Linked DNA regions of Canis lupus familiaris. The protein of the gene in region 1 binds, or shares a complex with, the protein of each later gene. Links are inferred from orthologs where the notes say so. Each region holds a gene or a part of one and is shown in the gene's direction. Other genes may lie near its edges.

Region 1 (6,542 bases):
TTGCCACTCTCTCTTTTTTCATGTTCTTTTAAGAATAAGAAGTCTTTGCTACTCTGTGGGTTGTGACCACAGCAAGTTCGTTCTTTCTTTTTTTTTTCTTTTTTTTAAAGATTTTTATTTATTTATTCACAAGAGACACAGAGAGGCAGAGACACAGGCAGAGGGAGAAGTAGGCTCCCCACGGTGAGCCTGATGTGGGACTCAGTCCTGGGTCCCAGGATCACGCCCTGGGCCAAAGGCAGGTGCTCAGCCACTGAACTACCCGGGCGCCCCCAGCAAGTTCTTTTTTTTTTTTTAAGATTTATTTATTTATTTATTTATTTTATTTATGATAGACAGAGAGAAAGTCAGAGACACAGGAGGAGGGAGAAGCAGGCTCCATGCCAGGAGCCTGACGTGGGACTCGATTCCAGGACTCCAGGATCGCTCCCTGGGCCAAAGGCAGGCGCTAAACCGCTGAGCCACCCAGGGATCCCCCCAGCAAGTTCTTTCTTAAAACCTGTCAGCCTCACCCTACAGCTCTCTCCCGGACTTGTCTCCCCTGGGGCCCTCCGGCTCATCTGCCGCCCTCCCCGCCTTCCCTAGCACCTGGCCGCTGTGGAGGAGAGGAAGATCAAATCGCTGGTGGCCCTGCTGGTGGAGACCCAGATGAAAAAGTTGGAGATCAAACTCCGGCACTTTGAAGAGTTGGAGACGATCATGGACCGGGAGCGAGAGGCAGTGAGTAGCAATCCCTGGGGGCCAGTGCAGCCCAGGACCACAGCCTGACACTGGGCCAGGCCTTGGTTGAGGACGGGCGTAAACAGCAGTGGAGAAAGCCTGAGAGTGGCAGAGCTTCGTGGCGGAGGGGCAGGAGGATCCAGCCCTGGGCAGTTAAGGACAAGTGGCTCACAGGGGAAGCCTGGAGCCCGAGGTCCCACACGATGTTGGCATCATGGGGCAGAGATTCTAGTTGGTTTTTTGATTGCCTCAGGTCCAGGTCCTTGAGCAGTGTTTGGCCCATCGTAGACTCTTGGTAAATAAGTATTCGTCGAGTGATCGAGCAGGTTTAAGGGATGATGAGAGGGAAGGGGCTCCAGATCCAGGAGGTGAACAGGAAAGGGTATAGAATGGACATGGTATTGAACCATTTTGGCTTTGAGATGATACAAAAAGAAATGTAAGACAGGGATCCTAGCAGAACCTACCGCTTAACCGGAGACCCCGATATCCAGTATGGAGGCGTCAAGAACAGTGAATGCTTAAAGTAGCTGACAAATTCAGATTAAAAGTCCTGAGAGATAATGAAATAAAGGCAAAGCTCGGAGGCCACAGAGTTGATCTGGGATGGCTTCCTACGCTTGGTAAGCATTTTGCCAATTTTGAGGAAAGAAGAGACCATGAGCTGACCTTAGGAACGGGAAGCATTTTCCCAGTGAAAATCATGACCGATTTCGAGCTTTGGAGCTGAAATGAGTCAGGGCTCCCACTAGATGAACTCCACCGCAGTGAGAAGCCACACGGGCAGCCGGACACCGCGGTGGGGATTCTGGAGCGGAGAGGGCAGGGCAGGGCCCCTGGGAAGGCCAAGCCCAAGATCTTCCCCCTTGGGAAGGCCGAGCCCAAGGTCCCCCTTGCTGCAGGGAACTGCCAGAATGAGAGGTAGGGTTTGTCGGGACGGAGAAGGCGGTGGGGCGTTTGCCTTCGTGGGCTTCTGCACGTGGGTAACGGTCCCCACTTGGCACCGGCAGCTGGAGTATCAGAGGCAGCAGCTCCTGGCAGATAGACAAGCCTTCCACATGGAGCAGCTGAAGTATGCCGAGATGAGGGCCCGGCAGCAGCACTTCCAGCAAATGCACCAACAGCAGCAGCAGCCACCGCCAGCTCTGCCCCCGGGCTCCCAGCCTGTCCCACCCACCGGCACTGCTGGGCCGCCCACGGTTCACAGCCTGGCCATGGCTCCGGCCTCCGTGGCCCCCGCTCCTGCTGGCAGTGGGGCCCCCCCCGGAAGCTTGGGCCCCTCTGAACAGATTGGGCAGGCAGGGTCAGCCGTGGGGCCACAGCAGCAGCAACCAGCTGGAGCCCCCCAGCCTGGGGCAGTCCCACCAGGGGTTCCCCCCCCTGGACCCCATGGTAAGTGACGGCTTCTGGAACTCCTGCTGACCAGGGGGCCCCCGGTGAATGTTTGGATTCCCTCTTGAAAGGGATATGTGACAGGACGAGATTTCTACAGATGGGCTCTCCTCCCTTCTACCCCTGAACCAACAGGGCTCCCTCCCCACATCCAAATCTTTGAGTCTCATCCAAGGCTTTACCTGCTTACTCTCTTGTCAGGGAAGGTGGTGCTGAGGAGTGGCTAGGTGATCCTTGCTAGCACAATGAGTCGGTAAGGGAGATCTTACGCCTCTAACCCTCTTGACCTCTTCTCTTTGCTCCCAGGCCCCTCACCGTTCCCCAACCAACAAACTCCTCCCGCAATGATGCCAGGGGCAGTGCCAGGCAGCGGGCACCCAGGCGTGGCGGGTAATGCTCCTTTGGGTTTGCCTTTTGGCATGCCGCCTCCTCCTCCTCCTGCTCCATCCATCATCCCATTTGGTAGTCTAGCCGACTCCATCAGTATTAACCTGCCCCCTCCTCCTAACCTGCATGGGCATCACCACCATCTCCCGTTTGCCCCGGGCACTCTCCCCCCACCTAACCTGCCTGTGTCCATGGCGAACCCTCTACATCCTAACCTGCCGGCGACCACCACCATGCCATCTTCCTTGCCTCTCGGGCCGGGGCTCGGATCCGCCGCAGCCCAGAGCCCTGCCATTGTGGCAGCTGTTCAGGGCAACCTCCTGCCCAGTGCCAGCCCACTGCCAGGTGAGAAGGGTCCTGGAGGGGAAGAGGGTGAGGGAGAGGGGTCCACATGGAGGGATGGGGGTCAGCTAGGGGAAGGGCTTAGGTCATAGAACTTCCACAATCCTTTTTGAACGCTCTGGTAAATTAGAACACAGGGGGAAGGGCCTCTCTGGCTGTCCTCCACCATTCCCCACCCTGGCAGCTGCCACCTCTGGGATGACGTTGGGGCCTTTCACTGGTGGGTCACGGAGGAGTCCTAAGGCACAGCGTCTCAGTTGTAAACTTGAAAAACAGCTACCTGTCTGCATGATGATTGGCATCCCCTTTGCTTGTTCCTATCACGTTCAAATGCCCCATTTAGAGAGTTCCCTTGGGGGCAGGAGGATTGTGGGTATTTCCGTCTGCCCAGTGTGAGGTGGGAGAGGGTTTTGGGGAAAGGCTCCCTCGGTCACCTACCCACCCATTGCATGCCATGCCCAGTTCTGTTCGTCTGTGGTGGCCTGGGTCTGGATCCCTCTCCTGCTCACCCTAGCTGATTCATCTTCCTTTTCTCCACAGACCCAGGTACCCCTCTGCCTCCAGACCCCACGGCCCCGAGCCCAGGCACAGTCACCCCTGTGCCACCTCCACAGTGAGGAGCCAGCCAGACATCTCTCTCCCTCACCCCCTATGGAGATCAAGGTTCCAGGAACAGCCCTCTCCCCACCACTGGGACCCTTCCCCAGCCTGGAGAGTTCATCACTACGTAAGGAAAGCTCTTCCTGCCCCTCCAAAGCCCCCATCATGCCTGTCAGAGGCATGCATTTTTATATCGGATTATTCACGGACTTCTGTTTAAAAGATGTTTCTAATGTCTGGGAGAGAGGATAGGATTGGGGATGCTGCCCTCAAAGGGCTGGGGAAAGGTGTTTATACAAGGTTCTAATTAACCACTTTTAAGGGTGCACCCCCTCAAAACTACTGCATTTTTTATGGATGAAAAAAAAAATGAAGCCCTTTAAAGAAGTAGAGAGATAAAAAAGCCACATTGGAGCTCCCTCCACCCACTAAAAAAAAAAAAAAAAAAAAAAAAATTCCAACTTTTACATTTTTTGGAGGAGGGAGGTGACAGGAAAGGGGAACTAAGGTTCTGGGAGAGCTCTGGGGATAGAGTAGGGTGCAGAGTCTGTCTCCTCCAGCCCTTCATTAGTAACCGAATCCACTCCCCAACCCCATCAGCCACCCCATCTCCGGTTTGTTCCTACTAATCTCTCCTGTGCTTCCTCAGTGTTGCTGTTTTAGGTCACCCCAACTCAGCCAATGACCCCTTCCCCCCCCCAAATGTCAGTTCTGTGTTTTTAAAAGTCACCTGCGTAGTTGATGTCAGCGTATGTGTATTTGGTGGGGAAACATATTTTGGGGATTCCTGTGGTAGGTAATAGAGGAAGGAAGAGCACCGTTCCTCTTCCCTGGGCCCTGTCACTGGGCGCCTAGAGGACATGGAAAGGGGAGCTAGAGAGGATGGGGAGCTGTGGAGCTGTAAAAACCTGCATTTTTCAAAAAGCACTTAAGCACCTCCTTCTTCTGACTTGGTGGGTCACCCCTCTAACCTCTTCCCTTTTCCACCGAGACCATCAGAACCTTGACTGGTAGCTTGGGGTTCCCTGGGATTTGGAGACAGTGGAGGAGGGGTGCCCAACCTAGGGTAGTGCCTACCCCAGCTTGCAGCTTGGCTCTGCCCCCTGGATTCCACGGCCTCCCATCTTTCCCTTCTTCATCCTTGATGTGAAGGTGGACAGGACCCCAGGCGGGCTCTCCACTAGTTTGCCTGGTCCCTGCCACCGGGCCTTTGTCGCTCACGTCCCCGTGTTTCTCTTCCTTTGCGTCTCGGCACCTTTCTTCTGTTCAAAAGTTTTCTGTAAATTTTTTTTCTTTCCTTTTTTTCTTTTCCTTTTTCTTTTCTTTTTTTTTTTCTTTTTTTTTTTTTTTTTTTTATAAATTAATTTGCTTTCAGTTCCATCTTGTGAATGCCTTCTGTGTTCTCTGACCTGTGGCTGCCAGGCAGGGGGTTGGGGCTGGGGGCAGCCTTTCCAGGGGCATTCGCCTGGGCTGGAGAGGCACTGGACGGCCCATAGACACGCAGGCACTAGGCCTCTCTCCACAACAGGCTCAAGGCAGCACAGCTGTCAGGACTGTGCACTGTTTTGGGAGCTGGGCAGAGGCTCTCACCTGCCCTAAAAATAGCTGTTTGAGACTTGGAAGGACATCCTCCCAACCTGGAGATTTTGTATATTTATCCTTTCAGAAGTAATGGCTTCATTCCTTCCCTTATTAGGCAGGAAGAAGGCAGGCAAGTCACATACTTCTATTACTGGCCACTAGCCCTACCGAGGTGACAGGCTCAGGCAGTGCTAATATGGCCTGGCTTTAGCTCCATTAAACACTCCCTGGGCTTCCCCCACAAAAGGCCATCAGTGCTTGGGAGAGGGACGGCTGGGTTTAACCAGATGGGAGGGCTAGGCGGACTTCCTGAAAGGAGGCAGACCGAGGATGGCCAGCCTTTGGTCCTACAGGGATTTATGGCTTCCTTAATTCCCCCAAGCGGTAGCCTCTGGAACATCAGTGAATGGGGCCAGTACTTTTTAAATGACACAAAGATGGATCCCCCAAGCCCTTCCCCAGCTTTTTTGACCCCTGGTCTATTGACCATGGATGGTCTTTCCTCCCCTTCACCCTGCTCAGGAAGGAAGGCAGAACCGTACTTAGGGCACAGAGCAAGTTTATTTGGTGACTGCTGATAGCAAATATCCAAGAGAGACAAGCTGGCAAAGGTGCTGTGACAAGAGGACCTAGGACGCCTTCGGGGCTACATGCAGTCTCACACGGGGGAAGGCACGGGGCTCGGGCACACCAGGAACGTCCTCAGCCATTCAGCACCATACGGACGAGCTCTGTGGATCGGAGAAAGGGGTGAGCCAGGGAGTAGGGCCAAGGGGAGGGGTCCACCAGGGGCCAGGAGACCACAGGACCACAAAGGTAGCATGGGTATGTGCCCGCAGAAACCAACCTTGGCTTTGCAGAGGAGCCACCTTGAGTCTGCCCAGTTCTCTCGGCCCCCAGCTCCCCTCCCACCAGCTGTTAGCCCCCCACCCTACCCTGAGCAGCAAGAACACAGCAGGAGGCAGAAAAGTTCTCAACTACACCTACAGCTATTGTCAGCCATTGGCAGGAGAAGACAGAGATTTGGGTTAGGGTACCTCCAAGCTGCCCAGCAGAAGGAAGAAGAAATGACTATTCTGCTACAGCAGCACAATGGGGCAGGCGACACCCCCCCCCCCATGCCAACCACCTGGGCCCCAGGGCCAAAGGATCACCCTGAAGCAAGATGGGGACCGGCTGGTGCAAGTTCCCAGACACCGGCACCTGGACCCTAGAAGCAAAACCTCAGAGCCCATTCTAGGAGAGGAGGTACCACACCCCCAGGCTGTCTTCCTCTTTGAGGAACCCCTCCCCTGCCCAGTCAGCTCCATGCAGAAACATGCTAGGAGGAAGTCAGATGGTAGTAGGGGAGGGGCAGGGACTAGAGAGCAGAGGTTGGGGAGAAAAACACTGGGGAGGGCGACTAGAGAAGGGAGGCTGGGAGGAGCCGTACCCGCCCCATGGGCCGGTCACCCCGACAGGATATGCCTCACAAACGCTGCAGGAAGGAAGAGACACTCATGGTGAAGACAAGACACAGA
Region 2 (7,304 bases), on another chromosome or scaffold:
ACGTCGGGCTCCCGGTGCATGGAGCCTGCTTCTCCCTCTGCCTGTGTCTCTGCCTCTCTCTCTCTCTCTCTCTTTCTCTCTCTCTCTCTGTGTGTGTGACTATCATAAATAAATAAATAAAAAATATTAAAAAAAATTTTTTTCATATTAATTCACTTAATTCTCACAGTTGCCATGTGAGGTTGAAACTAGTATTGTTCTCATTTCATAGATGAGGACGTTGTATGTGTTGCTCAGCTCCCGCTGCTCTTGCCATTGGTGAACAGAAGCAGGCTACCTTTCCCTCAGAAGTGCTGGCTGTGGTGAAGAGCCAGATAAACTTCACCTGTGTGGCTAGAAACCTCCCCACTGTCCCCTTGGGTTTTAGTTCCTAATGTCTCCTGTGTTTTTAGCCTTTTGTGGGAAGGAGCATGGTGGAGAACAGGAGGATTGTGTTCCTAGGACCTGGATTCCCAGCATAGAATCACTTACGTATTTCTCTTCACGTCAACCCAGGTCATCCAGGTGCCTCAGGGGAAGTACAAAGTGTTACCAACTGAGAGAACCAAGGTCAGTTCTTACCCAGTGGCCCTCATCCCCGGACAGTTCCAGGAATACTACAAAAGGTATCCATTGGTTTTATTACCATCGTTATTGGGTACTGCTGGGGGACTGCAGAGTCTTGTGTACTTGCCTCCAAAGAGTTGAGCTCTGTGTGTACCACCTTGAGATGTTGTGTGAGATCTGGGCCAGTATCCTGTTTTCTGTGGTTCATCAGTGAAGAACACCCTTCAGCCACAACGTAAACATCTGCCGACAAAGCTGGAGCTGCCCATCTCCCTGCCCGCACCTGTTCGTGTGTCCGTGGCAGATGCAGGTGGACCAGTGCTTCGGTCCTTACATTGTGCTTCATGGCCCAGCAGCACCCGTGTCATTTGAAAGCTGATTGGGAGTGCAGACTCTCGGGCACAACCCCAGACCTGCCAACCGGGAAGCACTGGCTCAGTCTGCAGAGGATGTCGAGGAGGAAGCAGAATGGCTGCAGGGCGGGCTGGGCCACCTGGTTGTGCCGGCCACGTCACTGCCCTGGCCTGGCTGCTGCTTCCACTCTGTCCGGGATGGCTGCTTCTCTCTCATTCCCAACCTGGGTGTAATTGAAAATAAGGCTAACAGGGTCCTTTTGTTTGAAAACTCTCACCTTTAAGCTTTATGTTCTTGAGGATAGAGACTGGTCTTTAGAGAACAGTGTTTAAAATAGACTATAGGATCATACTATTTGAAAGTCCAATTTAAATCATGGGTTGCAGATCTTAATTTCGCTTTGGGGTCAGCAAATTATTAAAAGTGATGATTACATTTGTTAGAGTACATGCATCACAAGTTTTTAAAAAAAATTTCTTAAATAATGTCATGTACCACCCACTGCTGTGCATCATGTGTGTCGACTGATGTCATCATCACATCCACCTGTGAGGTGGACGCATCGTCCTGCAGTCCACGGGGACCCACAAGCAGTGATATGGGGTGAGGGGAGGGTGGGAGTGATCAGGAGGCATGGGTTTTGTGCACAGTCTTGAATTGCCACAGTTCTACCTTAGTCTGCTGACTTTTTTTTTCTATTTTGGGTTGAAGATAAAGGAGGGAGACTTCCTCTTTTGATAATCAAATGCATATGATATACTTTTAGCCTGGTGTAAAAAACGTTTAGGCTTCTCATTTATTTTCCTTACTTGATACAAAATGAAAACTTATTTGTTACATTTGTAGTCATTTTCCAAAAGTATTTGGGGTTAATTGAGAAGGTTAAGGCTACCTTTAAAGCTCACAAATTAGATCATTCGTATTAATTGTAAAAAGACAAGTGACAATCGTCTCTCTGATCCTCAGATACTCACCAGATGAGCTGCGGTATCTGCCATTAAACACCGCGCTTTATGAGCCCCCTCTGGATCCTGAGCTCCCAGCCCTTGACAGCGACGGGGATTCTGATGATGCTGAGGATGGTCGAGGCGACGAGAAACGGAAACATAAAGGCACTTCGGTAGGAACATTGATCTTTACTAGGAGCTGTCTCCTTCCCCTTGAGTTTTTGCTAATTTTTTCCCAGAATGTAGAATTAAAATTGTACCACCACCCTTTTTGAAAAAGGACAGTTGCATATAATTTCCTGAGCGCTTTCATTGAGAAAATTATTTATTATGTGCATTGATGCAGACAGGCTGTGGATAGCCTTTGGTAAGTTTTGTATTTAAAGTTGTCCTTAAAGTTATCACAAATAGGTTAGGAAAGGTCATGGACATTAGTTTGCAATCCTATTGAACTGGCTTAGTTTCGGGAGCACATTAACATGTGTTCCTATTGCTTAATTAGTAATTTAGATTTCCTATAGGAAAATGTGAAGGTGACTGGTATGTTGTGCTGTTATTAGGTACATTTTCTTGCATGCCTTTTTCTTTCTTTTTTTTTTTTTTTTTGCAAACTTTAGTTGCATGACTGGGGAGAGTTGGTGTGCTCTGTGGAAGGGAAGGAGAGCAAAAACATGTTGCTAGAAGATTTTTATTTCATTTAGCATAATGTATTTAGCAATTGGCTATTTTTAAACGTAATTATAGCCAACCTGAACCTGAGAATGTGCTACTATTAAATGGGCAGTTTATTTTTTTGTCCCCAACAATTGTAAAACCTATTTAATGGTACATGTTACATAAAATAAGATGCTATTCAAGTATTAAAGTGGTGGTACCACTTAGCTCCTTTTTTATTGGTAAAAGGGGAGCTGTGGTGTGGGCATGATGTTATAGTTGAATTTTCCCTCACTCTGCCTGTAGAAGTAAAAAGTAACCCAACATTCCAGGAGAGCATTTAACAGCATATACCAAGATTTTTAACTTGCACAGAATTTGACCTAGCAAATGCACTAATAGAATTTATCTGAAGGACAAAATTTAATTAGGAAAAAAATGGCCATTGGAGTTTTTGGTTTTCTTTTTAAAGATTTTATTTATTTATTCATGAGAGATACAGAGAGAGGCAGAGACATAGGCAGAGGGAGAAGCAGGCTCCTTGGGGGTGCCCGATGTGGGACACGGAACTCGATCCCAGGACTCCAGGATCACAACCTGAGCCAAAGGCAGACGACCAAACACTGAGCCACCCAGGTGTCCTGCCATTGGAGTGTTAACTGTATTTTTTATAATGGAAATTAGGAATAAGTTTAATGTCCACAGGGGATCCCTGGATGGCTCATCGGTTTGGTGGCTGCCTTCGGCCCAGGGCATGGCCCTGGAGTCTTGGGATCCGGTCCCACATCGGGCTCCTGATGTGGAGCCTGCTTCTCCCTCTGCCTGTGTCTCTGCCTCTCTCTCTCTCTCAATGAATGAATAAAATATATTTAAAAAAAAAGTTTAATGTCCACAGTAGGTGATCTATTACATGATAGAAATGAAGTTCAAAGAATATCTAGGGGATCCCTGGGTGGCTCAGCGGTTTAGTGCCTGCCTTTGGCCCAGAGCGCAATCCTGGAGTCCCGGAATCGAGTCCCGTGTCGGGCTCCCGGCATGGAGCCTGCTTCTCCCTCTGCCTGTGTCTCTGCCTCTCTCTCTCTCTGTCTATCATGAATAAATAAATAAAATCTTAAAAAAAAAACAAAGAACATCTAATGATGTGATAAAATCCATAAAGAATATCTAATGATGTGATAAAATCCACATAATGCTTTTTTTTTTTTTTAAAGATTTTCTTTATTTATTCATGAGAGATAGAAAGAGAGGCAGAGACACAGGCAGAGGGAGAAGCAGGCTCCATGAAGGGAGCCTGATGTGGGACTCGATCCCAGGACCCCAGGGTCACGCCCTGGGCTGAAGGCAGGTGCTCCACCACTGAGCCACCCAGGCTACCCCACATAATGCTTTAAACCATTAAAAAACACATGCATACACACAGAGCACAATCCAGTTTTGTGTGTGTGTGGTTTTTTTTCAAGAACATATTTAAAGATTGTTTAATTTAGAGGAGTAGGGGACCGGCAGAGGGAGAGAATCTCCAGCCGACTCCCTGCTGAGCAGAGCCGGACACTGTGGCTCCATCCCCGACCCTGAGATCAGGACCTGAGCTGAAACCAAGAGTCAGATGCTTAACAGACTAAGATATCCAGGTGCCCCACCAGTTTTGTGGTTTTTTAAAAAAATGAGGGATATGAATTGATAGGGTATGTGTGAACGTGTGAATGTGTGAATCTGGTTTTTTTGTATGTAGACATGCATTCATGTTCCCAGTAGTTCTCAGGATATTTATCGTAGTTACAGATAACCAAATATTTTGATTTATAATTTTCATAATTTATATGAATATATAGCATTTTAATTTTAATTAGAAAATTTAAAATTAACAAATGAAGTATTAAATGATCAGATGTTGAACTCCTAAATCTCGACATTTAAAACACGTCAGATACTGTCATAAAAGGCTTGACGATATTGACACTTACATGGAGTACAAGTGAGTGCATGAAGAACTTTTTTAAATGACATTTATTACTCAGTAAAAATACCCATAGTTTGTTTTTTTTTTTAAGATTTTTTTTCTTAAAGATTTTATTTATTTATTCATAGAGACCGAGAGAGAGAGAGAGTCAGAGGGAGAAGCAGTCTCCAAGCAGGGAGCCTGACGTGGGACTTGATCCCCGGTCTCTGGGATCATGCCCTAGACTGAAGGCTGCGCTAAACGCCTGAGCCACGCGGGCTGTCCTTTTTTTTTTTTTTTTTTTTAAAGATTTTATTTATTCATGAGAAACAGAGAGAGAGAGGCAGAGACACAAGCAGTGGGAGAAGCAGGCTCCATGCAGGGAGCCCGACGTGGGACTCGATCCGGGGTCTCCAGGATCACGCCCTGGGCTGAAGGTGGCGCTAAACCGCTGAGCCACCCAGGCTACCCAATACCCACAGTTACTTAAGACCATTTAGGTTTTTTTTTTTTTAATTTTTTTTTTATTGGTGTTCAATTTGCCAACATATAGAATAACACTCACTGCTCATCCCATCAAGTGCCCCTCTCAGTGCCCGTCACCCAGTCACCCCCACCTCCCGCCCAACTTCCCTTCCACCACCCCTACCCTACTTCGTTTCCCAGAGTTAGGAGTCTCTCATGTTCTGTTTCCCTTTCTGATATTTCCCACTCATTTTTTTCTCCTTTCCCCTTTATTCCCTTGCACTATTTTTTATATTCCCCAAATGAATGAGACCCTATAATGTTTGTCCTTCTCTGATTGACTTATTTCACTCAGCATCATACCCTCCAGGTCCATCCACGTCGAAGCAAATGGGGGATTTGTCGTTTCTAATGGCTGAGGAATATTCCATTGTATACATAAACCACAGCTTCTTTATCCATCATCTTTTGATGGACACTGAGGCTCCTTCCACAGTGTGGCTATTGTGGACATTGCTGCTAGAAACATCGGGGTGCAGGTGTCCCAGCGTTTCACTGCATCTGCATCTTTGGGGTAAATCCCCAGCAGTGCAGTTGCTGGGTCATAGGGCAGGTCTATTTTTACCTCTTTGAGGAACCTCCACACAGTTTCCCAGAGTGGCTACACCAGGTCACATTCCCACCCACAGTGCAGGAGGCTTCCCCTTTCTCCGCATCCTCTCCAACATTTGTGGTTTCCTGCCTTGTTAATTTTCCCCATTCTCACTGGGGTGAGGTGGGATCTCACTGTGGTTTTGATTTGTATTTCCCTGATGGCCAGTGACGCGGAGCATTTTCTCATGTGCTTGTTGGCCATGTCTATGTCTTCCTCTGTGACATTTCTCTTCATGTCTTTTGCCCATTTCATGATTGGATTGTTTGTTTCTTTGGTGTTGAGTTTAATAAGTTCTTTACAGATCTTGGAAACTAGCCCTTTATCTAATACGTCATTTGCAAATATCTTCTCCCATTCTGTAGGTTGTCTTTGAGTTTTGTTGACTTTCTTTTGCGGTGGGAAAGCTTCTTATCTTGATGAAGTCCCAATAGTTCATTTTTGCTTTTGTTTCTCTTGCCTTCATGGATGTATCTTGCAAGAAGTTGCTGTGTCCAAGTTCAAAAAGACCATTTAGTTTTTAAACAACTTTTTACGAAATAAATAATGCCCCCTTGTGACACGGCAAATGGTGTCGAAGCTGTCTTGGAGTAGTAGCAGTTGAAGCAGACAATTCTGTTCATGTTAAGTCAGAAAACAATGGCTTAAGGTACTTGCTGGTATAAATGGAATCAGCTTTGTGCTGTCATATTTCTAAGACAGGTAGGTGATTTTTAACATGACTTCTTTCAGTTTGCACTAGAAAACTTTTTTTTATATTTATAGTTATTTTTTTATTTTTACTTTGATGGAACTTCAAAACTTAAACAAAATCTTTGCTGTAGCATGCAAAGTCACTCTCAATCTGTGTCTATTCCAAGGAATCTGTGTGTGCTTTTGACCTCCAGGACAGCTCCTCCGGCAACGTGTCTGAAGGAGAAGGCCTTCCCGATGGCCAGGAGGAGCCATTCCAGGGAAGACAGAGATCCAAGGACAAAGCTGCTACTCCAAGAAAAGATGCTTCCAAACGTTCTGTACTGTCCAAGTCAGTCCCTGGGTACAAGGTAGAAGAAAAAAGCCCCTGACTCCGCTTCTTCCCTGACCAGCCTCTCTCCCCGACATAGTTTAACTTTGACTTTCAGAGTTGCGGAGCTCTGCCTGCTGCACTTGACTAGCTGCTCTTCTGTGGCGTGTGCCCTCTGTCAGCTTCCTTCTTTTTTGCTTTATTTTCCTGGTGGCTTTTCTGTCACTTTTGCCTATGGTTCAGCTTCTGTTTTCTGTATATGTACAATTTATAAGAAAATCTTTTTTTGTCTTTTAAACAATAACCAGGCAAGTATGGGTTTTTAAAAATTTATTTCATAGACAGAACTTTATCCTTTGTTTCCTTGGAGTAAAGATCATAATTATCTGACATTTAAAATATCCTAGTATTTAGTATAGCTGAGCATGCTAAGCTGTAAAGTAAGGGTGGAGAGACTCTTGGAATAAGCTTCCTCTCCTGGAGAAAGAACTGGGTTCAATCTAAAGGTTATTTGATCCATTTGCCAAATCTAGCTAATTCTGTAACTGAAAATAGTAAAACCTGTTATTTACACTGTGGTGATTTTTAGCCTAACCTCAGCAAATAGCCTCTCTAATTCTACAACCAGGATTTAAGCATTATTTAGTGACGTAGTTTGGCTTACATACGTGTACTTGTTAACTTCCGGTCTGGATGCTCTCAGAGTAAGATAGTATGCTCTCAGCAGTATTGTTACTGCTCCTC
Region 3 (7,812 bases), on another chromosome or scaffold:
CAGGGGGGACTCCGGCTCCGAGCCGCAGGGCGGCCGCCCTCTGCCCGGACACGCGCGCGGTCTGCCCGGAGCACGGCCTGGGCCGCCGGCCGCTGAGACCAAGAGCCCAGTTGGGCTGGGAGGAAGGCCCCCCCGGCGGCTGGAAACGGGGCTCTCCCTGGGCCTCCACCCTGCCCTGGGCCGGAACCTGTGGCGGTGACACTGCCCAGCCGCTCTTCTGGGGCTGAGCCTTTGGGGATGCTGGCCTTTGTGAGGTGGGAGTCCTGGCCCGGTGCACCCACACCTGCGCCTCTGCTCTCTGGTCTGAGGGCTCCCCCGGGTCTGCACATCCAGGGTTGCCCCTGTAAAAGCAGCACGCAGATGTGCCTACTGGCTGGTGCCTCGTCAGTTGCCCCTTGTGAGTGTGATATGGAGATGGTGGAGAGGTGCCTGTGTGTGCAAATCCTGGTGGCTCCTTGTCCCTCTGGAGTCTGCATCCCTGTGTGCCTGAGGGGCATGAATGCATTATATATCTGTTGTCTCTGCTGGCAGAGGGATGTCTCCCAGAGAAGGGGCTGGGGGATGTCGGGGAGACCCTGATGCTGGGGTGGCCCAGGAGGGAGTTAGCTATGGTCTTGAGTGATGCTCACCAGCTCCTTGGGTATCGCCAGAGCCTTTGGTCTAACTACCTCCTGCCATCTCCTCCACCACCAAGCCCCGTCCCCTCCCAAATGCTGGGTATCCCCACTTTCCTTCGTGATCCTCCCTGAAACTTAGCTGCCCAAGCTGGGGTGCCCATCCACCTCCTTTGCTGTCTTCTTTACCCCAAAGACCTCTTGGAGAGTTGAGAGCTCTGAGCTTTACACAAGGCCTAAAAATGTCTGCCCCAGCCCGAGTCTCTCCAGAGCCTCTAAGGTCTGTGGTTTCATGGGTCCATGCTAGAAGCACCCACAGTGCGTAGGGGTGCCCATGGCGACTCACACCTTCAGGTAAGTGGCAGAGTATGAGCTCCATCCACCGGCCTACTGAGCTTTTCGGGTGGTTGCAAGTGTGAGCAGGCATTTATTTGATCATAAGTTCCCGTGTCCCAGCGTGGGGTGGAGTGGGGAGGAGAGTGGTACTTAAAGACCAGTCCCTGATGTCAGGGGGGCCACATTTGGAAAACCAAACCTAACATCTCAGACACTGGTCAGCCAAGTGCCAATTTGTGGCATAGCATAGATGGCAATGGGTATTCAAAGAAGAGAAAGGTTGGTGCACAGGAGTGGAACTGGAGCAGGCTTCCTGGAGGAGGTGGGGCCCACATTAGGCTTTAAAAGACAGGCAGATAAGCAGTAGAAGGATTCCAGGCAAAAGAATCATGGGAGTAGAGGCTTAGACATGGGGATAAGTGAAGGGTTTTGGAAGTTAGTGGGCAGACTGGAGAGATTACCTCCACAGGTCACCAGTAGCCACCTTGCTGGCCTATGGCAACTACCCAGCCATTCCCACCTTGGCAGGACCCAGTTTCTGCATGGTTGAGTCTAGGGGAAGCTGGGTAGAGATTTGGTAGGAAGAGGACCTCTGGGTTCCTGGCTAAGCCCCCAGAAAAGGAGGGTTGTCATGGGCCACTCTGGCCTTTCAGAGGGTTGACAGTGGGCACCCAACTGACCGTGACAGCCAGGAGCACAAGTAGAGCCCAAGGAAACCAGGCTGCAGGCAAAAGGACTGTAGGCAGAACATTCCCTGGGTTTTGTCTGACCTCTGAGGGCATTCTGAAGGGTTTGAGGTTCAGGACACCTCCCCCCCACCCCTCAGTGTAATTCTGGGTCTTTAGGGTATAACTTCAAATAACTTTTCCAACAAATTCCCCCAGGCATTGCCCCACCTCACCTGGATTCTGACAGGGCAGCCCCAGGAAGCACACAAACTTGACCCACTGTGGTCCCAAAGCCTTGGGGCTCTTCCTCCAGAAGGAGGAGAGAGGGGTGTGGCCATTGGGGGCCTGGGTGGTGCTATGGTTCCCAGGCTGGGGATCTCAGGATTTGTCCCTCCTTCACCCCAGGGACTGCCAGCTCTCTGAACACTGCCTCTTCTGGGGCTCCCTCAGCCAATCCCACACTTACCCCTGCTTTCTCTGGGGGTCTTGCGGCCCGCCCTCCCCTATACCCAGCAGCCCCATCACCTCTGGGTCCCCCCACCCCCCACCTCATGCCCCATTCTCTCCATCCATCCACGCAAGCACCCACCCCAGCTCCTCGCCTTCCCTCACATTCGCTGCTCTTCCTGTTCTCATGAGTCCGATCCACCTCCCCTTTCCGAAATACTTCCCCTCTTGCCCTCACTTTCTCACATAGAGACAAACAAAGACTCACATACCCAGAAATAGACTCACACGGAGCTGGAAGACACAGGCCGTGTCCTGCCACACACGCACCCGCAAGCGCGCGCACGCACCCGAGGCTCTCGTGGAGGGAGGCACACAGAGAAGGCATTTGTCTGTGCACGCACATAAACATCCACACCCACAGCCACCGAGCCATGCCCACACCAGGGTGCAGACACACACGGCGGGCGAGACAAGGGCGCACACATCTGTGGACGCGAGGGGACAGCGCCTCCCCGGGCACACCCACCGCTGTCGGCCTGGTGCAGGAGGAAGGCCTCCCCCCAACCCCCCCAACCCCCCCCCCCCCCCCCCCCGGATTCCTTCCTTCCAGAGAATGTTTCCCTACTTGGCCTGCCAGGTCTCTGGGGAAAGGGCCTCAGAAATGCAGCAGGAGCCCACTTGGGGGACAGTTGGAACTGCCTGTTCCCTGCCTGGCCCTGCCGGCGAATTCCCTAACCGAGAAACTATTTGTGGCGAGAGCCCGGGTGGCCGACGAGCCCCCCGCCGCCTCCCCTCGCGTCCCCTCCCCGCGCCGCCTCCCCGCGGCCCTCGGGCGGCCTCGGGCTGCAGTGCCGCTGCCCAGCGCCCCGGAGCCGGGCTCGCCGGCGTGCCTCGCCGCTTATCTGCGCTGTTTGGACAGCGAGGGCTGCAAAGGCAGGCGTTTCGGGCCCCGCCGAGTCAACAGGCAGACCCCGGGCCGCCGGACTATTTCTGTCTTATCAGTACAGGAATGCGGCAGCCGCGGCGGCGGCGGCGGCGGCGGCGGGCGGGCGGCGGCGGCGTGGGCCGTGGGCCGTCAGGGCAGCCCTGAAGGGGCCCCCTCCCCACTCCGCTCGAGTAGAAGTGTGAGAGAGCCCAGCAGGACTCAGAGGGGAGAGTTGGAGGAAAAAAAAAGGCAGAAAAGGGAAAGAAAGAGGAAGAGAGAGAGAGAGTGAGAGGAGCCGCTGAGCCCACCCCGATGGCCGCGGACGAAGTTGCCGGAGGGGCGCGCAAAGCCACGAAAAGCAAACTTTTTGAGTTTCTGGTCCATGGGGTGGTGAGTGGGGGAAAGTTAGCGGGGGAGGGTGAGCGAGCTGGCTCGGGCTGAATGGAGGGATGATCGGGAGGGGCCGGGAGGGGGCTCCCGCTCTCCCACCCCTCTGGCAGGGGCGCCGCGGCCCGCGGCCCAGCCCCAGCACTGTGCCGGCGCCCTGGCACTCGAACACGTCGTCAGGCGGCAGGCGGCGGGCCGGGGATGGGTGCCCCGGGCGGGGACGGAAGCTTTGCATGGGTTCTTGTCAGGGGCTGGGGGTGGGACTTGGGGACTGCCGCCCCAAGTGTGGGGGGGTTCCCCTCTGTACTAGACGTGTTGTCTTCTATTCTTTTCCTCGTGGGCCCAGGTGTTCCCCTGCCCTGGGGGTGGGGGCAGGGGACACGGCAGCGGGTGGGCTGGGTTGTCTGCTCATCCATTGGGACAGTGTCTCTCTGATTGTGTCTCTCTGAGCAAGAGGAAGGAGCAGGTGACCCTGGAGGCACTGTGAGCGGGAAGCTCTCTGCCCCAACAACCTCTGCATCCTGGCAGGAGGGCTCTGGGGCTTTGCTGATGGCTTCTGCCATCCGGGTCAGAGAAAGACCCTCTCCAGGGACAGACCCCAAGTGAAGGGGTCTGAAGATCCCCTTGGCAGACTCAGCCCCCAGAAGCCGATGTCTTTAAATCCTCAAAGGTGTGAAGGAAGGGCTGGAGTCAGGGATGTAAGGCCTAGAGACCGAAGGGGCAGGGCGGCACCTTCCTGCCAGGAGCGGACTTGGAAGGCACACAGGGAGCCCAAGGGAGCCCAGGGTGACCTGAGGGGATGGGACCTCAGGCTGAGGCAGCAGGAGCCAGGCTGGTAGAGATGTGGAAGGCAGCGGAATGGGAGAGGCAGAGATTGTTGGGCTTGGAATGGCCACTGGGGTTGGAGCTGGGTGCAGAGGAGGCAGTCAAGTTGACTATGGCCAAATTTGGTTGTGACCCCAAAGAAGGCACGTTCTCAATGAGGGAAACCAAAGTCCCTAGAATCTTGGCCCTTCTTTGGGGTAGTCCCCTTGGTTGGCACAGCTCTCTGGGGGCTCTGGAAGCTTCTCTCTCGGGGTCTCTTCAGCAGATCAGCAAGTTATCACTGGCCTTGAGGAATGGGAGAGCAGCTGATTGGGTAAAGGGGCTTTCCCTGGGGCAGCCTGTTCTCCTGTCCCAGAGATCTCTGAGGCAACTTCCCAGGGAGGACCATGTCGGTCAGCCAAGTTGCCGGTCCTAACCATGCTGCTGGTGAAGTCCCTTTAAAAAGGCCCATCTAGGAGAGAGAGGGGGCTATATGTGTGGGGGTTTTTTGGTGGTGTTTGGGTTTTGTTTTTTTGTTGTTGGTGGGGTTTTTTCTGTTTTTTTTTTTTTTTTTTTTTTTTTTTTTTTTTGCCAACTTACAGCTTCAGTTCTTGGGTGGCTGTGAGTCCCACCACTCCACTCCCAGTACCCCATCTGTGCTGGTGGGCCTGGGCCTAGGCTCCATTCTGGGCCACCACTCTGGAGATATGAGTGATAGGGTCAGGTGCGGTGGGGGAGGCAGACACACGGATGGGCAGTTTTCACTGTGGGAGAGATAGACAGAGACAGCTGGCTGGCTGGGAGTTAGGGTTAGACAAAGTGCAGGGCCAGAGGGACAGGAGGGAGAGTTGGCATTTAGAAGGAATTCACCGGGCTCAGGCTCAGGGCTCCTCCTTGTGCCTGAGGGCAAAGCAGGTAGTGTTTAAAAGGTGGCAGGGCACAGGGGCTGCATCCCTTGTTCCCGAATCTTCCTGCTCTCTTTGTCCCCATCACACCCACCCTCCACTTTTCAGCCCATTGGGCCTTCCCGGATTCCTCTTCTGGAATCTGGACAAGTGGGGTTTTCAAAGTCTGTGAAACACTTAGTGAATTTGCATTTCATCTCCATCCCATCTGAGGTGGCAAGGGAATACACCTGCCTCCTCTTGCTCTCCATGTCCCCCTCAGAGCCCTGGCTTCCTACCTCACTGGGGCGGGGTGGGAAGTGGAAGAGTTCTGTAGGATGGAACCATCTCTGGCAATGCAGGCGGACAGGAAGGGAGAGATGGATGGAAGAGGAAATGCCACTCACTCGCTCACTCACTCGCAGCCTTTGAGCTCTGCAAGCCCTCTGGGCAGCCCACCTCCAGCCCAGCTGCCTCCCATCCTGTCAGGGACTCCTGGTGGGGTGTGACCTCACTGGCTCCTGTGGCCTCCAGCCTTCACCTTGGGAGTAAATTATGGGGGGGGGGGGTGCCCCTGGGTGTGGTGACCTGGAATCAGCTGAGGGGGGTGTGGGTTGAGACTGAAGGGTGGAAAGCAGGGGCCCAGAGAGAAGGATGGGTTTAGTGGGGAGGGCAAGTGCCCAGCAGGACGGCCCAGGAAGTGGACAGAGAGGTGAGGAGTGGAAAGAGGGACAGAAGTCCTCTAGCAGAGAGCAGAGCCTCTAAGCCAGATGAAGCTGCAGAGACCAGAGAGCCCCCACACCCGGGGAACCGGCAGTTCCATGCCACCTTGGCCAGGAGGAGCGGGGTGACCTTGGCTAGGTCGCTTTTCTCCTTGAGCTGCGGTTCCCTCATCTGTCAAGTGGGGTTGGAAGGACCCCCTCCGTCCGGTCCGTCTTGCAGAGGAGAATGTGGTTGTGAACATCCTTTGAAAAGGTTGAAAGGCGCCATTAATATTCATTTTCGCGGTACCTTCCGCAAATCCGAGGCTGGCAGTGCCCAGTGCAGTTGCCTGGCTTCAGTTAGCTTCCTGCGGCGAGACGCAGAGCCCCCTCCGCCCAGCCGCGCGGTGGCGGCGCCCCTGCCCCTCCCACCCCTCGCTCACGCGGGCGGCATCAGGGTCACCGGCCGGGGGGGCGGGGGGGGGCGCGGGGTGGGAGACACGCGGCTCTGCGCGCCCGGAACCGGGGCCCTGAGCTGACCGGCGGGCGCCTGTTTCTGCCTCACCTCCGCCCCTCGCCCCCCCTCCCCGCCCCCCAGCGCCCCGGGATGCCGTCTGGAGCCCGGATGCCCCACCAGGGGGCGCCCATGGGCCCCCCGGGCTCCCCGTACATGGGCAGCCCCGCCGTGCGACCCGGCCTGGCCCCCGCGGGCATGGAGCCCGCCCGCAAGCGAGCAGCGCCCCCGCCCGGCCAGAGCCAGGCCCAGAGCCAGGGCCAGCCGGTGCCCACCGCCCCCGCGCGGAGCCGCAGGTGAGTGGGGCCCAGCGCGGAGGGGGCGGGCCACGCGACCCCAGGGACGGGGTGGCTGAGCAGCGAGCCTAGAAGGAGCAGGGAGGGAGGATCGGCCGGGAACGAGCCGTCCTGGGTGGGATGCCCTCTGGGGAGGTGGGCCGAGGGGGCACTGGTCCGGTTCCTTTGTGTGCCCACCGTAGAGACTGAGGCTGCGGCCGTCGCGCCCTTCTCCTTGTCACCTGCTCGCTCCTTCTCTCCACCCCTCGTCCCCAGGTTCTGGGAGATGCTTCCGTCTTTGGGGTGGGGGTGGGGGTGGGGCTGGCAGGAGGGCCGAGGGCTGAGCTTCAGGGATTGTGTTTCTCAAAGTGTGGCTGTCCAGTGCACCGTCCCCAGTCCCCTGGCTTGACTGTTTTAAAAGCCCCACTCGAGATAGTCTAAATCTGACTCTCTGGCCAGGGGGGTGGAGTCTGGGGATGTGCCCTGTGGGTGGGTGGTCTCCATAACGGTCCTGCTCTCAGGTAGTTCTTAGGCACTTAGAGGTTAAAGAGCTGCCCTAATCTGTCTTCTGGACCAGGTCTGCCCCCAGGAGCCACCAGGGGCCAGCCCATTTCCCTGTCTGAGCCAGCTGGTGGCACCCCAAAAGCCCCTGCTGGTGTCTGGCAAGAGAGATGCCCCTCTGGGTTTCACTATTTAACCAAACACACATGCTTCCCTTTGCACACCAGATGGAGTCCTATAAAAGGAGTAATATGGATTTTACCTCATTATTAAATATTTTTTACACATCAAGGAAAATTCACCATTTATAGGAATCCCATGATGAATTCTTTTGCAAAGTGAATCATCTTTTTATACAGTAAACATGTTCCTGATTTGTCTTGTATAGATGGAGAGTTTCACACAGATAATTTCTTCAAAACAAATCAGACCTTTCAGGAAAGATGCTTACCTAGCCTTAGAATAGGCTTTTGGACAGGAGGGGGCAGTGGTTACCACCACACAGGGATGGTACAGAGCCATGCCCCAGGCTGGGTGCTAATCTCAACTGGCCAAGGATTTTCTGGGGTGCTTTTGGGAATCAGAAGCAGCTAGCAGATCAAGAAGAGTTCAAGTCCCAGCTGCCACCTCAAGTCCAGTCTGCAGTCACACCCTGCAGGACATCCCTCTCTCTGGATCCCTACGGGTGTGTTTCTGGACCCTGTTGGCAGGTGATCCCATAGCCTGTCAGCATCCTCTTCCAACCCCGGGTTG
Region 4 (7,917 bases), on another chromosome or scaffold:
CCCTCCCCGGCGGGGAGCGCGGCGCTCCCCTCCCCCTCCGCCGGGGCTGGGGAGGAGGCGGAGGGCGAACGCCCGCGGCGCCGCACAAAGGGGCTGGGGCGACCTCCCCGCAGCCCCGCTCCCCCCAACCCCTGGCGCTCGCCGCCTTGACCTTGAGCGGCGCTGGCGGCTGGGGACCGGGAAGGGGCGGGGAGCGCCCCCACGCTCCCAGGGCTGGGGCTGACGGCTGACCCGAGGCCCCCAGCAGCGCCCGGCTGCCTGCGGGGGAGCTGGGGGCGCGGGGCGCGGGTTCACGGGCACGCGCCTACACGTGTGCCTCGGCTTTGCGCGGAGCCAGAGAGGCTGCGGGGCGTGTGTGGAGCTGGGGTCAGCGGGAGGAGGTGTGTGACGCCGACACCCTCCTGCGTCCCTCTCGCTCTGTCTTACACACAGACAGACGTGGCTCCTCTGAGGGACACCCTCAGACTGGCCGGGACAGGGCTCCTGTACAGGTTGGTGGCTCCACAGGCTTCCTGGCCTCCTCACTCTGACCCCAGGCCGGGCCCTGGAGGAGGCGGGAGGAAGCGCTGGGGCGGGAGGGCCGCCGCCTTCTTTGCCCTTCTTTGCTCTCCCGTGGAGCTGAGCTGTCCGCCGGGTCGAGGGTAGGATCCGGCTCCCGCAAGACTGTGGGAGCCAAATCCCCTTGGGAGGCTGGTGGGAGCGGGCCTAGGGGTTCTGACTGCCTGGTTCCAGACCTCATCTTGAGCTATTAATTCACCACCCCCCTCCGGAGCCTCAGTGTTACCATCTGAGTATTGGGGAATCATAACTGCCTATCACCTCCAGGGGCTGTCGTGATCTTTGTAAAGCGCTTGGTTCAGAGCCTGACCCTGACTAAGTGTACTGATTATTATTAGAAGTATCAATATTGATTTCTCTGTGGTCCTGTTTCCATATAGGGCATTGCGGGGGCCTGGAGGCCAGGATAAGGTTAGGGTGGAGAGCGCCAGTGTGCCCTTCTTTGCTTTCATCCTCTGAGGGGTCTGCAGGGTTGAGGGAGGGCGGTGGGCTAGGAGGACCCCGTGGGCAGGGGAGTTCAAGTGTGGGAGACGGATCTGTGAAGGTGACCAGGGGCAAGGAAAGGGGGGAAGCGACAGCTCGGGTGGTGGGTCAATTGTGCTGATGGACAGGGGCCTCCAGGGAGGTGACGGACTATTCTATGTTCAGGCCCCTAACCGAGCAAATTGATGTAAGGGTTCTGGGGTGGGGCAGGCGTGAGCTGGGGTGTCTGAGGCTGGAGGTGTGGGGAGCAGGTGTAATGTGTTGGGGGATCTGTGAGGGTGGTGGGAGGTGAGAGAGGAAGGTGCGAGGACGGGCACTCTCTGAGCTGAGCTGATGGGCGGAGGGGTAGGGCTTACCAGGGGTGAGGTATGAGGTGGCCGGAATAGAGGCCTGGAGGCCAGAGTGAGCGTGGGGGTACCAGCATCCTTCACTTACTCCCCTTGCCCCCTACTCTCGGCCAGATGTGAAGCAGGGACCCACTGTGTCCTGTTGGGAGTGGGGAAGCGGGGAGGTCAAGGCCTTACCCTGGGGAGACTGGGGAGAGTTTGTGGAAGGGGGTCTAACACTAGGTGTGTGTGTGTGTGGTGTGTGTGTGTGTGTGTAGAGGTGATAAGTTTGGAGGAACTTGAGGGCATCTCTCTCACCAGAGGGTAGGTGGAGGCATCAGGTGACAAAAGAGGTGAAGGCTAGTCTGCCTCTCTGGCTGCTGCAGAGCCCTCTGGTGGACAAGGACATTTGTGGGGGTTTTATCCAGGAGGGGGCCCATACTGGAACACAAATTTTGGACCAGGGGGGTTCCGGTCCGTGTTGGTGTGGCCTGCTGGGGCAGCTCGCTGTCTGGGGACTCCTTAGGGTACAGTCTGTGCTGGTGACAGAGGGAGAAAGAAGGAGGTGAAACTCACCTGGGTACAGATACCTAGATGAGTGAATCCTCTTAGCCCCACCGTCAAGCGCCACCAGGAGCTGAGGGCCCTGTGGTTTCACCTCCCTCTGCCTCAGATTTCTTATCTGGAAAATGAGCGTAAACATAGCATCACCTGGGAGGGTCATTATGAGAATCGTATGAGCTGCTGGCTGTTGAAGTACTTAGAATTGTGTCTGGCACCTGGTGGGTACCAGTATATTTTTATTTACTCATTCAACAAATACTTATTGAGCATCTATTATGGGCCAGGCATTATTCTTTCTGGTAGTGGTTGGCTAGCACCATTTTACACCTGACTTCATATCCGATCTCCTTGATGGAGTGGATTTACTGAACCTACTACCTGCCAGGTGCCTTTTATTTTATTCATCTATTTTTAAAGATTTTATTTATTTATGCATGAGAGACACACAGAGAGAGACAGAGGGGCCGAGGGAGAAGCAGGCTCCCTGCAAGGAGCTGGATGTGGGACTCAATCTTGGATCCCGGGATCACGCCCTGGGCCAAAGGCAGACGTTCAACTGCTTCGCCACGCTGGCATCTCCCCCCTGCCCACCCCGGGTACCTTTTAAAAACACTATATGGGGGGGCACCTGGGTGGCTCAATGGGTTAGGCCTCCGAATCAATCTCAATTCAGGTCTTGATTTCTCCGTGGTGAGTTTAAGCCCCGTGGTGGGCTCCCTGCTGGATGTGGAAAAACTAAAACTAAAAACACTCTATTTACTCATTTAATCCTTACAACAATCCAATGAGGTGTCATCCTCATCTTACAGGTGAGGAAACAGGCCCAGGAAAGTTAAGTCATTTGCCCAAGGCCACATGGCCACCGAGTTGCAGAGGCGGGATTCGAACCCGCCAGGTGCGGCTACAGCTCCTTACTGGCGACCGGCCTGCGGCAGGACGGGCTCGCCCGCGCGGGGTCACCGTGCCGGGGACAGCCCGGGGACCGGACAGGCCGGGCGCTGGGAGCCGGGAGGGCCTGGGGATGCGGGAGGGAGAGGTGTCGGTGAGGCGAGCGCAGGCGCGGGTGGGACGCCCGTGCGGGCCCCTCCAGGGTATCTCTAAGTCTCATGGCTTCGGAGTGTTCGTGTGAGTGTAAATGTATGTGAGTCTGTGAAGGCGTGGGAGGGAAGTGTGCGTGAGTCTGCGTGGGAGGCTGTGAGTATACGTGTGAATGTGTGTGTAAACTGCCGTAGGTGGGTGTGTGCGAGCCCAGGTGTGCCCGTGGGAGCGTGTGCCCGGGACGCTAGGGCGCGTGGGAGCGGGCGCGCGTGAGTGGCCGCGTGAGTGACCGCGCGCGCTCCCGGGGCCGCGCCCCTGCCCCCTGCCCCCTGCCCCCTGCCCCCTGCCCCCTGCCCCGCGGGGTCCCGCCCGGCCCCCGGCCCGGACTACCACTCCCAGCATGGCCCGGGCGGGCCCGCCCTGCCGTCCTGATTGGCTGTGGCCCCGGTGCTCCCGCCCCGCGGGAATGAATGGATGGGCGGCCTCAGCGCCCGCCCGAGCGCTGGGAGGACCGACCCGGCGGGGACCTGCTGGGGGCAGGACCCGGGGAGCAAGATGGCCACGGTCATCCCCGGCCCCCTGAGGTGCCGCGGGCCGGCGGGAGGCGGGAGAGGGCGCGCGGGCGGGTCTGCGCGGGCGCGCGCGTGTGTGTGTGCGTGTGTGGCGGCCGGGGGTGGGGCCGATGGGGTGTCTGGGGGGCTGTCACCGTGGGCCGTGCTGCGCGGGGGTGCGGATGTGTGTGATCGTGGGTCCCTGGCAAGAACGGGGTCCGATGCGCTGCTCCTGGAGGAGCGGAGGGTGTGGGGGACTCGGAGTCCTGTTCGGGTCCTCTTCGGGGGAAGGGGGGTCACGTCCCGCCCGGCGACCCCCGGGGTTGGGGAGAGACTGAAACGGTCTGGGGGTGCGGGAGGCTTGGGAAACTTGAGTGAAGTCCACACTACCTTTGTCTTGGCATGTGGAGTGCGTGTCACTTGTTTGTTTGTTTTTGATATGTGTGTGGATATGTGTTTAATTTATTTTAGTCTACACTAGGTATCTTTGGATATTTGGGTCTTTGAGTGTGCGTACATGTCCTTTGGAACTGTGCATCGCTTGTGTTCTGTGTCTGGATTTGTAGGCATGCATGTATTTGTACAGTTTTGTGTGAATATGGGTGGATTTGTCTGTTTCTGTGTTGTATCTTTGTGTGGATATGCGGTATTTTAGATGTTGGTTTCTATGTTGTGTATCTTTGTGATTGTGTGTGTGTCCTGTGTGAATCTGTGTGATTTCTTTGTATAGTTTGTCTGGATAGTGTGTGTGTGAGTGTGTGTGTGTAATTTGTTTGTGTTGTGTCTTTGGGTATATAAGTGCATGTGTGGGTAGTTTAACATTCTTCTCATAATATTTGTGTATCACTGTGTGTCTTTGGATGCGTGTATGTGTGTGTAGTGCTGTGTGTGTGATCTCTGCACATTGTGTGTCTTTGTGCGGGTGCTTTGTTTATGTTGTGTGTCTTTGGATATGTGAGGTGTATTCGTGCATGGATATATGTGGGATGTGTCTGTTTCTACACTATGGGACGGCGATGTTTGTATTTTCTCAGTAGATATTTGTGTGTGCACATATGTGAGGTTTGTCTGTTTCTCCTTTGTGAGTTTTGGGATATGTCTCTCTTTGTGTGTGAATCCTGTGTGGTTTGGTTGTGTTGAGTATTTTGACGCGTGCCTGTAGGGATGGGTCCTGGTGTATTTTTGTCCGTCTCTGTATGGTGTGTATCTATCTGCCTGTTGGCTCCAGGCCTGCTTGGGCCCTGGGCTGGGGGCGCCTGAGTCCCGGAGGCACAGGGGGGAGAGGGGAGGTTGGGAGAGTAGGCCCACCCACTCCCGAGGGGCGCGCCGAGGGGGGCTGCTGGGCCACCTGGCGCTCGCGCCCTTGCTGACAGCCACTCGCCCGCTCGCTCGCCCCCTCGCAGCCTAGGCGAGGACTTCTACCGCGAGGCCATTGAGCACTGCCGCAGCTACAACGCGCGCCTGTGCGCCGAGCGCAGCCTGCGCCTGCCCTTCCTCGACTCGCAGACCGGCGTGGCCCAGAACAACTGCTACATCTGGATGGAAAAGACCCACCGCGGCCCTGGTACCGGCCCGGAGGGTGGGGGCGGGGCGGGGCGGCGGCTTTGCGGGCCGCCTTCCCCTTGTTCTCACGGCCCCTCGCGCTTCTCACTCCAGGTTTGGCCCCCGGACAGATCTACACGTACCCGGCGCGCTGTTGGAGAAAGAAACGGAGACTCAACATCCTGGAGGACCCCAGACTGCGGCCCTGCGAGTACAAGATCGGTGGGTGGAGCTTCATCCTGGGCCTGGGGGGGACCCCATCAGTGCCCCCAGCACCCGCTCATGCGTGTGTGGTGAGGCCCTTGCAGGTCTGAGCATTTGCCTTTATTTCCCTCCCAGCGCTTGTCTGCAGGTGTGCGTCTGGTGTAGTCCAGACGTTCTCCAGTTCCCCCCGAGTGACTGGGCTTTGGACTTGGGCTGTATCTTCTCCTCCGGCCCAGGTGTATTCGTGGGCAGAGTGGTATCTGTTTCGTGTGTGCCTGGGTGTACCTTCCCTGGCGAGCTGGGATGGATCAGGGTCCCGCTGGCTTTCTTCCTATGGGTGCCTCCTATGTGTGTCTGGATGTGTCCGGGTGTCTTTCCATCCGTAGGGGAGCATATCAAAGTGTCTGTGTCTCTTTCTAGGTGTTTTCAAGAGTACTAGAGGGGCTATTTAGTCTTGTGTGTGTCTGGTCTAGCAGGGTATCCTGAGTGTGTCTGGGTGTATCAGGGCGTCTGGGTGTCTCTTCCTTTGAGTGTCCAGATGCTTTGGGATGTCTGGGAGAAGCCCTTCGTGGCTGGAGTATTACGTATATTTCTGCCCACGTGTGCTCGTCTGGCCAGAGTGTTGGGCTTTATGACCTTTTGACTGTGACCAGTAGTGTCACAGTCGCTGGCTCTTTCTCTTCTCCTGTCCGGGTGTATCCAAGGGTCTGTGTGGGTCCAGGTGTATTGAAGTGTCCATCTGGACACTATGTGTCCATCTGTGTCTTTCTGGGTGTGTCTGTTTGCCTCAGAGGGACTGTGTCCCTCCCCCTTGTGTATCCATCTGAGTGATTCCCTCTAGGTATGTCTGTCTCGCTCTCGTGTGTGTCCAGGTGTATGGCAGGGTCTGGCTGCGTCTTCCTCATGTGGATCTAGGTTGAGCTGATGGTTTAATGTCCCTTTCTGATTGTCTCCGGGTGTATCCAAGGGCTTGGATGAGTTTCCTCCGCGTGTCTGGGTGTATCTCTTCCTTTGTGTGTCTGGCTGCCTCAAGATGATCTGTACTTTCCATGTGTGCCCTGTTTGAGTGTCTGTAGCTCTCCATATGCATCCAGGTGTAAGTGAGGGTCTGGCTGTGTCTCCTTCTGAGTGTGTCTGAGTGGATCTGAGGGTCTGGCTGTGTCTTTCTCAGGGTCTCGGCATCCTTCCCAGTATGTATGATTGAGTCTTTGAGTCTTGTTGCCGGTCGAGTGTGGGAAAGCCTCTGTCCTGAAGCAAAGGGCATGGTTCCCTGACCCGGGCTGTTTGAGGAATCCTCCAGGGACAACATACCCCCCTGACCCCACCCTTGTCTGCAGACTGTGAGGCACCCCTGAAGAAGGAGGGCGGCCTCCCAGAAGGGCCAGTCCTTGAGGCGCTACTGTGTGCGGAGACAGGGGAGAAGAAGATTGAGTTGAAGGAGGAGGAGACCATTATGGACTGCCAGGTGGGACCACCCCTCAGGGGCCTGAGCTGCCTTCTCATCCCTGCCACCCGCCCTGGCACATCCTGTTCCTGCTCTGCAGTCTCCCCGGGCCTTGGGGCACCCTGGATCTCCATCCTCCCACACCCTGTCTCTTTTTAGAAGCCCCTCTTGACTTGCCCTCCTCCCCCCCATCTCCAGCGGTGTCCAGAACTTCCCCAGAGCAGGACAGCATCCCCCCCATTTTCTTGACCTCGATCCCCCTTCTCCTGGTGCCCAGAAACAGCAGCTGCTGGAGTTTCCACATGATCTTGAGGTGGAAGACTTGGAGGATGACATTCCCAGGAGGAAGAACAGGGCCAAAGGAAAGGTATTACCTCTCAACTTTTCTCCATCGCCCCACCCCTCCGTGGCAGAGCCAGTGTACTGGGCACACACAATGGTCCGGCCTTGCCCCAGTTTGACCCTATTTAATCCCCAGAGAAGCCTGACGGGGTGGGGGTGGGAAGGGGGTTCGTAGAGGATCTTATACCCATTTTACAGATGAGCAAACCGAGGCTCAGATATCATTATACCGTTTGCAAAACAGAGATTGTCCAGTGGCTGAGAGCCGCCTTATACCCACGCTACACGCGAGGAAGCTGAACCTCTCGGTGGAGGCCCACAGTTAGGAAGTGGCAGAGCTGCGGGTCACCTTTCAGGCCCACGAGGTGAAAGCCCTTCCGGTTCCCTCCGTTTCTTGGCCGCTCACCCCCCCCCTTCCCCCGCAGGCATACGGCATCGGGGGTCTCCGGAAACGCCAGGACACCGCTTCCCTCGAGGACCGAGACAAGCCGTATGTCTGTGATAGTGAGTCCTTCTGAAGAGGGGGAGAGAGAGAGTGGGGCCTAGAGACCTCCCCCCTGCTGGCCCCCTCCCTCCTGTTCTAGAGCCCGGTGGGCGGGGCGCTCAGGCCTCTGGCAGAGGGGGGAGGTGTGACCCCGAGGCCAGGGTGGAGGCCGCCCAGGGTGGAGGCCGCCCGGCTGGGAGGGCTGACCCGCCCCCCTCCCTGCTCGCCCTCCAGTCTGTGGGAAACGGTATAAGAACCGGCCAGGGCTCAGCTACCACTACACCCACACCCACCTGGCTGAGGAGGAGGGGGAGGAGAACGCGGAGCGCCACGCCCTGCCCTTCCACCGGAAAAACAACCATAAACGTGAGCAGGCAGGCG

The links.
Region 2: SMARCC2 (region 1) and PHF10 share a complex: the UniProt entries of both Homo sapiens proteins name them as parts of the neural progenitors-specific chromatin remodeling complex. The link is inferred for Canis lupus familiaris from reciprocal best matches to the Homo sapiens genes SMARCC2 and PHF10.
Region 3: SMARCC2 (region 1) and SMARCD3 share a complex: the UniProt entries of both Homo sapiens proteins name them as parts of the BAF complex. The link is inferred for Canis lupus familiaris from reciprocal best matches to the Homo sapiens genes SMARCC2 and SMARCD3.
Region 4: SMARCC2 (region 1) and DPF1 share a complex: the UniProt entries of both Homo sapiens proteins name them as parts of the neuron-specific chromatin remodeling complex. The link is inferred for Canis lupus familiaris from reciprocal best matches to the Homo sapiens genes SMARCC2 and DPF1.

Annotation. Positions count from the first base shown.
Region 1 is NC_049231.1:832,394-838,935, reverse strand, and holds the end of SMARCC2 (SWI/SNF complex subunit SMARCC2), read left to right. Parts: intron 1-585; coding exon 586-720; intron 721-1,730; coding exon 1,731-2,112; intron 2,113-2,418; coding exon 2,419-2,844; intron 2,845-3,381; coding exon 3,382-3,458; 3' UTR 3,459-4,183; downstream 4,184-6,542. Other genes in the region: MYL6 (myosin light polypeptide 6), read right to left, coding at 5,725-5,753. UniProt on the Homo sapiens protein: Involved in transcriptional activation and repression of select genes by chromatin remodeling (alteration of DNA-nucleosome topology).
Region 2 is NC_049233.1:72,425,103-72,432,406, reverse strand, and holds part of PHF10 (PHD finger protein 10), read left to right. Parts: intron 1-495; coding exon 496-605; intron 606-1,866; coding exon 1,867-2,020; intron 2,021-6,444; coding exon 6,445-6,600; intron 6,601-7,304. UniProt on the Homo sapiens protein: Involved in transcription activity regulation by chromatin remodeling. Belongs to the neural progenitors-specific chromatin remodeling complex (npBAF complex) and is required for the proliferation of neural progenitors.
Region 3 is NC_049237.1:16,011,066-16,018,877, reverse strand, and holds the start of SMARCD3 (SWI/SNF-related matrix-associated actin-dependent regulator of chromatin subfamily D member 3), read left to right. Parts: upstream 1-2,923; 5' UTR 2,924-3,305; coding exon 3,306-3,383; intron 3,384-6,367; coding exon 6,368-6,579; intron 6,580-7,812. UniProt on the Homo sapiens protein: Involved in transcriptional activation and repression of select genes by chromatin remodeling (alteration of DNA-nucleosome topology).
Region 4 is NC_049222.1:115,596,590-115,604,506, forward strand, and holds the start of DPF1 (zinc finger protein neuro-d4), read left to right. Parts: upstream 1-3,434; 5' UTR 3,435-3,443; coding exon 3,444-3,553; intron 3,554-4,923; coding exon 4,924-5,084; intron 5,085-5,176; coding exon 5,177-5,284; intron 5,285-6,603; coding exon 6,604-6,731; intron 6,732-6,987; coding exon 6,988-7,077; intron 7,078-7,477; coding exon 7,478-7,556; intron 7,557-7,770; coding exon 7,771-7,902; intron 7,903-7,917. UniProt on the Homo sapiens protein: May have an important role in developing neurons by participating in regulation of cell survival, possibly as a neurospecific transcription factor. Belongs to the neuron-specific chromatin remodeling complex (nBAF complex).